Linked DNA regions of Drosophila melanogaster. The protein of the gene in region 2 purifies or fractionates together with the protein of the main gene of each other region. This does not show direct contact. Each region holds a gene or a part of one and is shown on either strand. Other genes may lie near its edges. The genes, in order: CG3529 and CG12024.

The links.
Region 1: the proteins of CG12024 (region 2) and CG3529 purify together in Drosophila melanogaster (affinity purification with mass spectrometry, with the first as the bait; one large-scale study listed by BioGRID). This does not show direct contact.

Annotation. Positions count from the first base shown.
Region 1 is NT_037436.4:9,445,135-9,451,490, reverse strand, and holds CG3529 (uncharacterized protein), read right to left. Parts: upstream 4,628-6,356; 5' UTR 4,496-4,627; coding exon 4,429-4,495; intron 3,104-4,428; coding exon 2,652-3,103; intron 2,591-2,651; coding exon 1,863-2,590; intron 1,803-1,862; coding exon 1,667-1,802; intron 1,474-1,666; coding exon 1,423-1,473; intron 1,260-1,422; coding exon 1,062-1,259; 3' UTR 706-1,061; downstream 1-705. Other genes in the region: CG3448 (uncharacterized protein), read left to right, coding at 1-667; Srg3 (Sting-regulated gene 3), read right to left, coding at 5,206-5,789.
Region 2 is NT_037436.4:1,855,170-1,859,593, reverse strand, and holds CG12024 (uncharacterized protein), read right to left. Parts: upstream 2,430-4,424; 5' UTR 2,350-2,429; coding exon 2,191-2,349; intron 2,130-2,190; coding exon 1,410-2,129; 3' UTR 547-1,409; downstream 1-546.

The DNA.
Region 1 (6,356 bases), 7.6 Mb from region 2:
CTCACATAGTCAAATAGACGTAAAGCCGTTTATTTATGTCCGAAGCAAATGGATGGACGACGACGTGGAGTTTGACATCCTGACCACTTCTGACAATCAAAACTACCGGTCAATTGTAAAATACGATGAGTTTCGAAGTGGAGCCAGTGAATTGGAACAGGCCTACGATGCTTTCTTTGCGGAGTGCAAAAGTGCCGTAACTACGCACATGGGACTCCAAGGATTTGATTATGAAATATCCATGGAAGATGTCGAAAAACCAGCGTTCAAAGTGTACAAATGCGAAGGATACGAAACGCTGTACTTGGATGTTCCGCTTAGAAAAGTCTCCAACTGCTACCAGATGCTGGATGCAGCCATCGAAGCTGGTCAGCAGAAGCCACAAGCAGCTCCAGCCACCGAATCCGACGCCCAGACAACCGCATCCCTGGCTGAATATGAAAAGTATGTGAGGGACAGCAAGCTGAAGGAGGAGGAACTTCTCAAGAAATTCCTGCTGCTTTTGAACAGCAAAAAGGCCCACATCCGGGATTTAGAGAGTCAGTTGGAAAAACGATCCGGGAAAGTATCAAGAGCAAAGAATAATCAAAGGATTTTTTCTGATGACGAGGACGATGCCTACGGAGCAGCTACTCAAGTCATGAATATAGATAACGACTCAGATTAAGCCCCTTAGTAATATAAATATTTAAACAAAGACGAAATCGGTATGTGCTTGAAATGTATTTCCATTTTGTTTTAGTTTTTCTTTTCGATTTTGTAAAATAAATTAGCTTTATAATGTATGTATAAATAAACAACAAATAGACTTGTAACGTAATACATTAAATTACCATCAATGTGTAGACGTGGCTTACAATTAGACCAACAAAAGATCGCTTGTTTTTTTGGAATATAATCAATAGTTATCGTTGCTGTTTTTGTAAAAAATAAAAGCATTTTACATAAAGTGTTACTATGTATCTGCTATCAAATAGACGTTACGGATAAGTATGTTAGGGTGTGTATAACATTTGAAAGAGTAAACAATTAGAGCCGATGATGGTGCTGGCGGAGATCACTCAGAGCGCGAGCAGATCCTCTTCGGCGCCCGGTTTCTTTGGTGTCTTTCGTAAGCTATCGGCTCCTGCCGATCCTGTCGTGGCACTGGCGGCGGAGTTCGATGCACTGATCGTTGGAAGATTCTCGGCGGCAGCGGCTCTCTCCTCTAGGAATTTGTCAAACTCCGAGCTGGTCAGCTCCTCAATTCCCTCGATGTGCTGTGTGGTGGAAACAAATGACTCATTAGTCATATTAAGTACTCGAAAATGGATGACAGAAGCTAAGAAGCAAAGGAATAGTATGTAAATCGAGAAACTGAAGCCGAGTGCATGGTAAGATGAGCTTAGAAAAAGACAAAATGCTATTCGAATGGCTACTTACTGAGCTGCCCAACCACGCCTCCATCTCGTCGATCTCATTCTCTTTCGTCGACTGTGTGTGGGCGCCAACCGAACAACAAAACGAAACGAAAACCAAACGCAATTTGCATAGAACAAAAAAGAACCAAAACATATTTTCAAATTTAGACACATAGTGTAAATCAATGGCGAAAACGAGGTCAAAAGGTAAGGGAACAAATCGAACGCCATTAGTTAGACCGGCTGTCCGGCGGCTAGTTACTCACTTTACTTACCACCGGCGGTTCGCCGGCTGAGCGCTGTGCCTGCTGCGGTTGATTTGGTTTGTAAGGCGAGGCGGTGGCAGTCACACTCCCAGCAGCAGCGTCCACCGAGGGAATGTCCCGCAGCAAGTCCGATTTACTAAAAAAAGAATTATTGTTAATACTTGATGAGCTCGATTGGAAAGCACTCTTTACTGACTGGTTGCCATCGGTGCGCGACTGTGCCAGCATATCGAATTCATCGGCAGGTCGTGCGCTCCTCTGCACCCCAATGGGTGCTCCACCACCCAGGCTGATCTGTCCCAAACTCTGTGGCAGTTGGGCTTCCTCGCTGCTTTCGATTAGATCGATCAGCAGTTGGTCACTTTGCGGCGTATTGCTCACGGCGGTAGTTGTGGGCGGAGGTGGTAGCGTAGCCACCGTGGTGGCTCCTGCTCCAGCTGCTCCCACACCGGGCAGGCCCATGGCTGCGCCCAGCACAGCCGAGGGCGAGGTAACACCAGCACCCTGGCCCTGCGAACGATTTTTCTCGTAACGCTGGTGGCGCAAGAACACATTGTTCAGCTCGTCATTGATGCGCAGGAACTCCGCGGTGAGCTCGTCGTCCTGGACACGTCCAATCAGATCCACGATGCGAGACTGCATCTCCTTGCAGGTCGAGGTGAGCTCATTGAGCAGGGCATAGTCATCGGGCGACTCCTGGCCGGGCTTCAGAACACTGAGCATCTCGCTGAGGATGGACATATTGTTGCTAACGATCTCCAGTTCGGAGCGCAGCTTAGCCGCTTGCTCGGGAGTCAAATGCAAAGGACCTGTGCTGGGTGGAGCTGCGGCTGCAGCTGCGGCGGCAGCAGCGGCAGCCATGTGTTGAGGCGAGATTGTGTGCTGCTGAGCGGCCACCAGCTGAGGGGGCATCTCGGGAACACTCTAAAAGGCATATGAAAGCATTTATTATGGTTAAAGTAAAGAGGATTCCTCAGCGACTCACCCTCTGTGGCGTGTAAATGGGTGCCATGGCATCCAGATCGTTGGCTGGAAACTCGATGCCCTTGTTTTTCAATTCCATGTACATCTGGGTGACGCCGTTGAGATCCGGTTGGTTCTTAAACGCATCCGCCCAGATTTGTATCAGACTGAGAACCTTCTCCTGCATGGCGGCTGGTGGATCGTTCTTGGGCCCAATCAGCTTGACCAGCTCGTTGATGAAGTCCTTCTGGGCCACCAGGACATGGAAGGCCTTGCCGCAGTTCTTCACGCATGTCTCCAGGACGGTCAGCGTGTACATCACCACCTGGTTGTTTTTGCCGGCGTTCTGGGAGAGGCGTTTGCGAATGGCACGCATAGCATCGCGTGCAGTGTCGGAGGATTCGTTGATCATGTCGCAGATCTCCATGTTGGCGGCCCAGTTCTCCGAGGCCAGGTTGGCATCGGTGGCGGCCTCTGAAAGGTGAGAAGGTAAGTATTAGTTGACACCTTAAGATCTTTTTAAATCTATCGTTCTTCCAGAAAAAAAAACTGCAACAATATTTCATGTAATATAAATACAAAAACAAAAAAGGTATCCCTATTTTTTTTTTTTAAATTTGTATCTTATTTCTGAAAACGCTCGTTACATTTTAATTATAATAATATATTTAATTATAATTCCAAGTAAATTGTGCGGTTTTTGATCCGAAAGATGTAATTATTTTTTTCGTTTTCTGTGTGAAAACCCAAGTAAACAATTTGCATTCCTTTGTTTGTTTTTATGGGCGGCTGAAACTGTGTTTTTTAACAGGTGGGCGAGCATTATCTTTCGTTTATAATTTAGGATCTACCAAGTGCAATGACTTGCTCGAATTAAAAATGCACAAAGCAATTTGTTTAAATCCAAAACGAAACCATTGCGCAAAGTGTATTTCTCAGATATCAGATATCGTAACACTGATATCCAACAGATATAGGAGATATGGGAAAAGCTAACCAACCGCAATACAATAACAAAATGTGAGCTCATAAAAAAAGCGAAGCAACAAATTAGTACGGCACTAATACATATGCACGATTGCACGTAAATGTGTGTATCTGTGTTTGTTGTGTGTGCAGCGGCAAATGGAAATTATGGCGAAAATGCGAGCCAAAGGGGAACACGAAATAAATTAACACATTTTTTTATGTAACCCAGCGGCCAGCGGCAACGATGACTAATTGCGATTACTAAGGGCGCAAAACAGGTGGCCGCCAGGAGGGGGTGAAGGGAAAACAGGCAATCAAACAATAAAAGAGCGCATCAATAACAATACTCTTTGTGTGCGTGCCAAAAGGTGAGCAATTTCATAAAGCATACCAACAAACATTTATCTGATTTGTCACACCTGCCTGTTGGAACCGCATACTCATATAAGGGTTAATCTTATCAGAGGCCCACCGTTGTTGCCACCGCCTTTCAAATCAAATCAGACCGCTTTGCCATAGTAATGGTCTGGCAACAACAAATGAGTATCGCTACATGGAAATGTGCGCGTGTGTGTGAGAGACCAACAACAAAACAAGAAAACAAGCAAACGCACGAAGAAAGTTGTGAAAATTCAATTTTCCAATGGCCCAGTCTGATTGGGACTGCCTTGAAGCGTCCTCTAATCAGATAACTATCAATGTAAATGCGTAAATATCAACGCATATGCGTTGTATTTGTGGAAAATATTACGCTTTAACCACATATACACACACCCCCGCTTCCGGTGGGTGTTTTTTTTACGCTGGAGGGGGGAGGGTGGTTTACTCACCTATGCGCTGGCCAACTGGAGTGGAGAAAACATTTCCCAAGGCGCCAACGTTGAAAAATGAAGCCATCGTGGAGAAGTTTCTTATTAATGCTCGCCGTTGGGTTGCAGTGCGGTTAAAATTGTTCTTTATTTACTTTTTGTTCACCTGGATGAAATGTTTATGCACTTGTCTACAGCAGAGTGACCATGGCTGGCCTCAGCGAAAAATACCCACAAAGAAATGCATTACAATAAGTGGGTAAATAGGAATAGGTTTTTTTCCAGGGCTGCAGCATTTTATTTCATTTTATTTAAAAGAATTATCCACAGTTTTTGAGATAATGACATAGTTATACCCGTTACTCGTAGAGTAAAAGGGTTTATTAGATTCGTTGAAAAGTATGTAACAGGCAGACCATATAAAGTATATATATTCTTGATCAGGATCAGTAGCCGAGTCGATCTGGCGATGTCCGCCTGTCTGTACGTTTGAACGTCGAGATCTCAGGAACTATTTAAGCTAGAATGTTTAGATTAAGCGTGCAGATTCCAGAGACATAGACGCAGCCCAAGATTGTTGACCCATGTTTCCATGACCACTCCAACGCCCACATTAGATTGTTCTTAGTTTTATTGTTCACCTTGCACCTTGCACCTTTTGGATTGTAATCACACCCACATCTTTAAACAATTTTAATTTTTTCTCATTTTATTCGCAATCCGACTAGCTGAGTAACGGGTACCTCATAGTCATGGTTGTTCACAGAGCGTGTTATGTATCTCAAAAACTTTGTAATTTCAAAGAGTTATTTCACAATTCATTCCACAGATTTCGTGGATAATGAATTTTCGATTGTTCAACCTTGCACCTGTCTCAAAAATGAGCTTTCCGTCAGCGGTCCTTCTGACGGTACCGCTGGCGGTCCCACTGATGGTTCCGCTGATGGTCCCGTTGATAGCCCCACGGACGGTCCCCTTGACGGTTCCGCTGACGGTCCCTTCGATGGTTCCGCTGCCGGTCGTGCTGACGGCCCCGTCGACGGTCCGGCTGATGGTCCCTTCGACGGTCCCGCTGAGGGTTCCGCTGAGGATCCCGCTGAGAGTCCCACTGAATGGCATTGGAACGAACTCGTTGATGACCAATCCAATGACGGTCGCGCTGACGGTCCCGCTGACGGTAGCGCTGACGGTCTGGCTGAGGGTCCCGCTGAAGGCTCCTCTAGCGTTCCCGCTGACTTTCCCGCTGACGTTCCCGCTGACGTTCCCGCTGACGTTCGCGCTGACGCTAACGCTCCTGCTGACGGGCACGTCGTCGGTCTCGCTGTCAGTGATCTCCATGTCGACGGCCCAGATTTCCGAGGACAGTTCATAGGATTCGTCCTCTGAAAGAAGAGAACGTAGGGTATATTAGTGAGTGAGGCTTTGAGACTTATATTTTGATAGTCCCGACTTGGTTAGTCGGCTAAACTTCTCTGTTCCAAGACCCATAATCTTAAGCCCATTTAGATCTAACTATAAGTTGCATGATTCTTACAGAATATTGTGTTCTGACTATAATAGTCATTATCCTATTATCTGTAATCTTTGCTCTCTGCCGCTCTTAAAGCAATCAATCAAATCAATCGGTGCATTATTCACAAATACGACGCAAAATTTGTTTTTGGTTAGATTAAGGAATATATGAGTTAGCGGTTCCAACAGGCTGATAGGACAAATCATATGCCTCGCACGTAGGGTATAAACTGAGAAGAAACGTGTTTTTCCCCGGAATTCTTTGCGACACATACAGTTTGTCAAGAAACTGTTTACACACTGTGAAATAAGTTGAATTTTTGACTTTAAAGCTAAAAATAAAGGGTTTTTTGCTTAATTAAACGCAATTTTTTTATAAAATATAATTAAACAATATTTATTTTACTTATAAATCAAAAAACAAATTAAAAATATTA
Region 2 (4,424 bases):
AATGAAAAGAAACCTAAAAACGAAGTAATTTACAAATATTTCATAATAAACATTGCATAAACTTCGCGTACGAGTAGTAACCAATATGCCCTTAAATCAAAGTCTAAACACAGCCAACAACCAACATTAAAAGTAAACTAAATAAAACCTAAGCCCAAGCGTATATATTAAATATATGATAAAGATACAAATCATTTTTGAACATAATAAACAACAAACAAACCAACCGTTACAATAACATAATGTAATAATGAGCGTGTGAAAAATGTAATTGAAAAACCATTTTTTCGAACTTGTTTCCCTACTGGTCGCGTTTTTGGGACCCCACACAGAGCCTCTGATCTCAGAATCCTGGCAGTCCCGAATTCGCGACGCAGTAGGTCGACATGATCGAGCATCTTTTAATTATTAATAAATGTATTATGTTTATAAAAAATTAAAAAGGAAATGCAAAAACAAAATAAAAATTAAATAAATTCATTTGTGGAGCGTATGCCTTATTCTTAGCATAGTTCATTCAGAAGTTAAAGACAAGACGATTGCATTGAAGTTTTGAAATATCTGTATTTGATACTTGGAATAGTTATATAAGGTTGTTATTCAAATATTTATACATATACAATTACAATCAAATAGCTCGTCTTTATAATTATAATATTCTGCTAGTTTATAGCACGCATGTTAATCCAGCGTAAGATCTGCGATAGGATCGATTCGGAGTTAAGTTGGGGCGTAGGAGTAGTAAAACCGCATTGTATCCACAGCTGATATGGTATGCAAGTTCCGAGAGATTCGCGGGTTGAGATATACAATCATAATGCATGCTTTTCGTAGAAGCCGGCGAATCGCTCGCCAGCAGTTAAAATGTAGAAAGTGAATTTTAAGACAGAGTTACGTGGTAGTTTCTATTACTGTACAATAAGTGGCTCGAGTTCCGCTTCATGACTAGGTTTTGGGCTAAGCAAAGTGCTATACTGGGGGACTCGCCTCCGATTCCTGGTGTGATGCTTGTTAATTAACGCTTTTTATAATCAGTCGAACGTGTGAGTGAGTGTGGCTTTCTAGCAATCTCTAGCAATCGCGGCTTAAAAGAGGCCGCCTTAGTATCGATTACAAATTATGCATAAAACTTAACTACGCTAATTTGGCAACAACGAAAGGGTAAACAAAACGTATACAAACAAGGAATATATGTATGGGTATATGGGGGTATTGCACGGTAGGGTAAAAATTGCACTTAAGGTTAAAACTAGGGTAATACCATCGCATCTTTGTGTCGAGATTGGGATAGGAGATTTCAGATTTCGTTCTTGCCCGGAGATTACTTTGGACTGGGGAACTGGGGAGATTACTAGCGCACGTGATCGTCACGTTATGGCCGTTGAGATTAGATAACAAAACGATCCGCTTCACTTGCGCAGCTGCAGTTGACCCTGCTGCTGGCTGGACTGGCTCGCTTGCTGCTGATCACGCTGCTGGTGGTGGTGATCCTCGTCGTCGCTGGGCTCTTCGCGCAGCGGCAAGGAGTCTATCTGCTTGGCCGTGGTCACCTTCTTGTTGCGCTGCCAGGTGAAGACTCGGGCCATCTGCAGGAACTTCTTGCGCGACATCTTGCCCATGTTCTTGAGCCGCTCCTGGAAGGGTGCGTCGTCCTCGCCCTTAGCCTTGCCGCTCTGCTCCTTCTCGAGGGCGTTCATGAAGTCCTGATTCCAGCGCAGCTGATTCATGAACTCCTCGTTCTGCAGCATCAGGGCGAACTGTTCGTCCGGCAGTTCGAAGTCCTGCTGCCCGGGAGCGGGCGTTATGCGCAGAAAGCCCGCAGGCAGTGGACCCAGGATGGGCGGATTCCAACGCCTGCTGCGTTTGGTGGGCGTGTTGTTCTGGCTGCTTCCCTTGCTGTTGGCCGCTCCCAGCGGGCGCTGCTTGGGCGAAGCGCCCGTGTTCTGATGGTTCGGCGATGCACCGGCCGTCGGTAACAGCGCACTGGGTGCTCCAGGTGCACCGACTGCACCCGCTCCTCCGCCGTCCGTGGTGTCCACCAGCTGCAGGTCCCTGTCCGAGTCGTTCAGGTTGATGAGGCTCTGCTGGGGCGAGACATTAGCATCCAGTTCATTGCGCAGTTTCTCGTTCTGCGTTCGTTAGTGGGTTAGTACAGCATAGACGTTAGTATACACAGGCGCCTCCACTCACCTGGTTGTCAATCGACATGGCCAGCAGGGCGTCGATGGTCTGGTCCACGGCCCCCAGGTTCGCCCGCAGGATGGCCTCGATCACCTCGCGGTCGATGTCCGGGAACATCTTCTTAAAGTCGGTCATTGCCTGCGAAAATTCCAGCTGCAGCGTTGACATGATTATTCTTATTTTTATTTTCGCCCCCACAGTCCAATTGACGGAGCAGTGTGACCAGAGCGAATGTTCTTTAATTCTGCCAACAAACAGGGGGTTCCTACTGGTGACAGATAAGTTGATAAGAATTACTTGGCCCTTACAATAATCCAGATTGCTGAACAAGAATATTATTACTAACAAATAACTTAAATATTGAAGTGTTTTAGCAACATCAAGCAATACTCTATCATGAATTTGGATACATGCGAGGATATTACAATTCAGCGATTACACATGTTCAAAGAAGTGAGGAAAGCTTATTTCTGAGGTACTCTACAACCACAACATCTAACACTGGCAGTGTTGCAAAGCGGTTAAGTCCGGCTTTGGCGGCAATTCAAACTGGTTTTATGCGACCGTATCAATAAAGTTCAATTTAGTGCATTGTTTATGGAAGTTTGAGAAAGTTATCCGACAGATGACTCAGTGAAGCAGCCACATCGGCTGTCACGTGATATCCTCAACTCGAGTGGCTGATAATTGGCGGCACGTGCTGGTGCCTTTGTTCCGGCAAGCAGTGTCGGTTCAGTCGGTCGCGTTTTAATAAGTGTCAATTAGCACTGATATGGCTGCCACTTAATTTGCTATCAGCTCTGGGCGGTGTCCAAAGAGCCCGCTTATCAGAATCAGTCGGACAAGTGATGAGCGAGACACCCCCGCCGGATTTGGGTTCGGAATAGAGGTGATGAAACCATAAATTTCAATTTAATCACAAAGTCTGCGGAAGAAGCGTGGGCTACCTTCCGATATTTTCGGATCAGACAAGAGGTTTCGAGAGTTCGGATCATCCAATTATAGACTAGACGGAATTAATTGCTGTCTACTGGGACTTTGCTTTTAAGACGCATTATATTTGGGAAATGACTCGGGGGAGATTCTATATAAGCAAAACACAATCTTTAAAATACGTCGAAAATTTTAATTAAAGATTTTTATGCGACGGCACCCCCAATTAATTTGGGTTTCTGTGTGACTTAATCCGGGCAAGGTGTTGCGTCATATTTTTTTGGATTTTTATAATGAAGATTTGCCGAGATACGCGAATGATTAGGTACGCATAAGAGATAAGAGATCGGTGTAGTTATCTATGCGATGGACATGTGTAAATTTCCATGCTATTTTCGTATAAACTTTATTTTTAACCCCCTTGTATGATAGATTAAACATTTTTATTTAGATTTGTGAAAGGCACATCCCACAATGGGTTGGTTCTATTTACAAGTGCCCAATTAATCTTAATGTCTCATTAAAAATATTTTATTTACATTTGTGACAGGTTCACCCTGCACAATGGGTCATATTTACATGTACCCAAAATGTGTAAGGAACTCAAATCATGTGATGATTTCATTTGAATTCCATGAGTTTGGAAATGCCTTTTGCGATCTCAGCTTCCGCTGTTGAAAAACTGCAAGTCGACATTGACCCAATTAACATTTAAAATATTCCAGCTAAGTCATGACGAGTTTAATGACCTACAGTTGAAGTACTGGTTCATGTGGGAACATTTTCCGAATCTCACCCTGGCACTATCATCCCAGTGCACAGACTATAAAAACCTTGCTCAAATCACCTTGAAGTCCCAAAGCCCTGAGTTAACGAACCGGGCGAGGGAGTACGCCCTAGATGATAGTAAAATACTTACGGTTCAGAGATCGAAGTGGTACATAATTCAAGTGACTTAATTTGCTGACACAGCGCACCCAAATGACCCATCCCCAGTGCTGTAGCGCAGTCAGCAGCGCCAACTATATGGCCCACCGATCATAAATCTTGGCTTTATCGGTCGATTTGTCAAAAGCGTGGCACGACAAGCGCACGAAGATCGCGGCCGAAGGCTCCAACCGACTTGAGTCGGTGCTGGTGGGATTCGATGAGTTAGTTCGCCGCCAGAGCAGAACGCGTTTAGTAGGAATCCGAGTGCCTAAATCCGAGATTGTGCCCAAAATTAGAAGCGCAGAAATAAAATTACAAAAACTTTTCAAGTACTCGTGCAACCAGAGACCCAAACCCCACAAACACTCAATACCCCACCC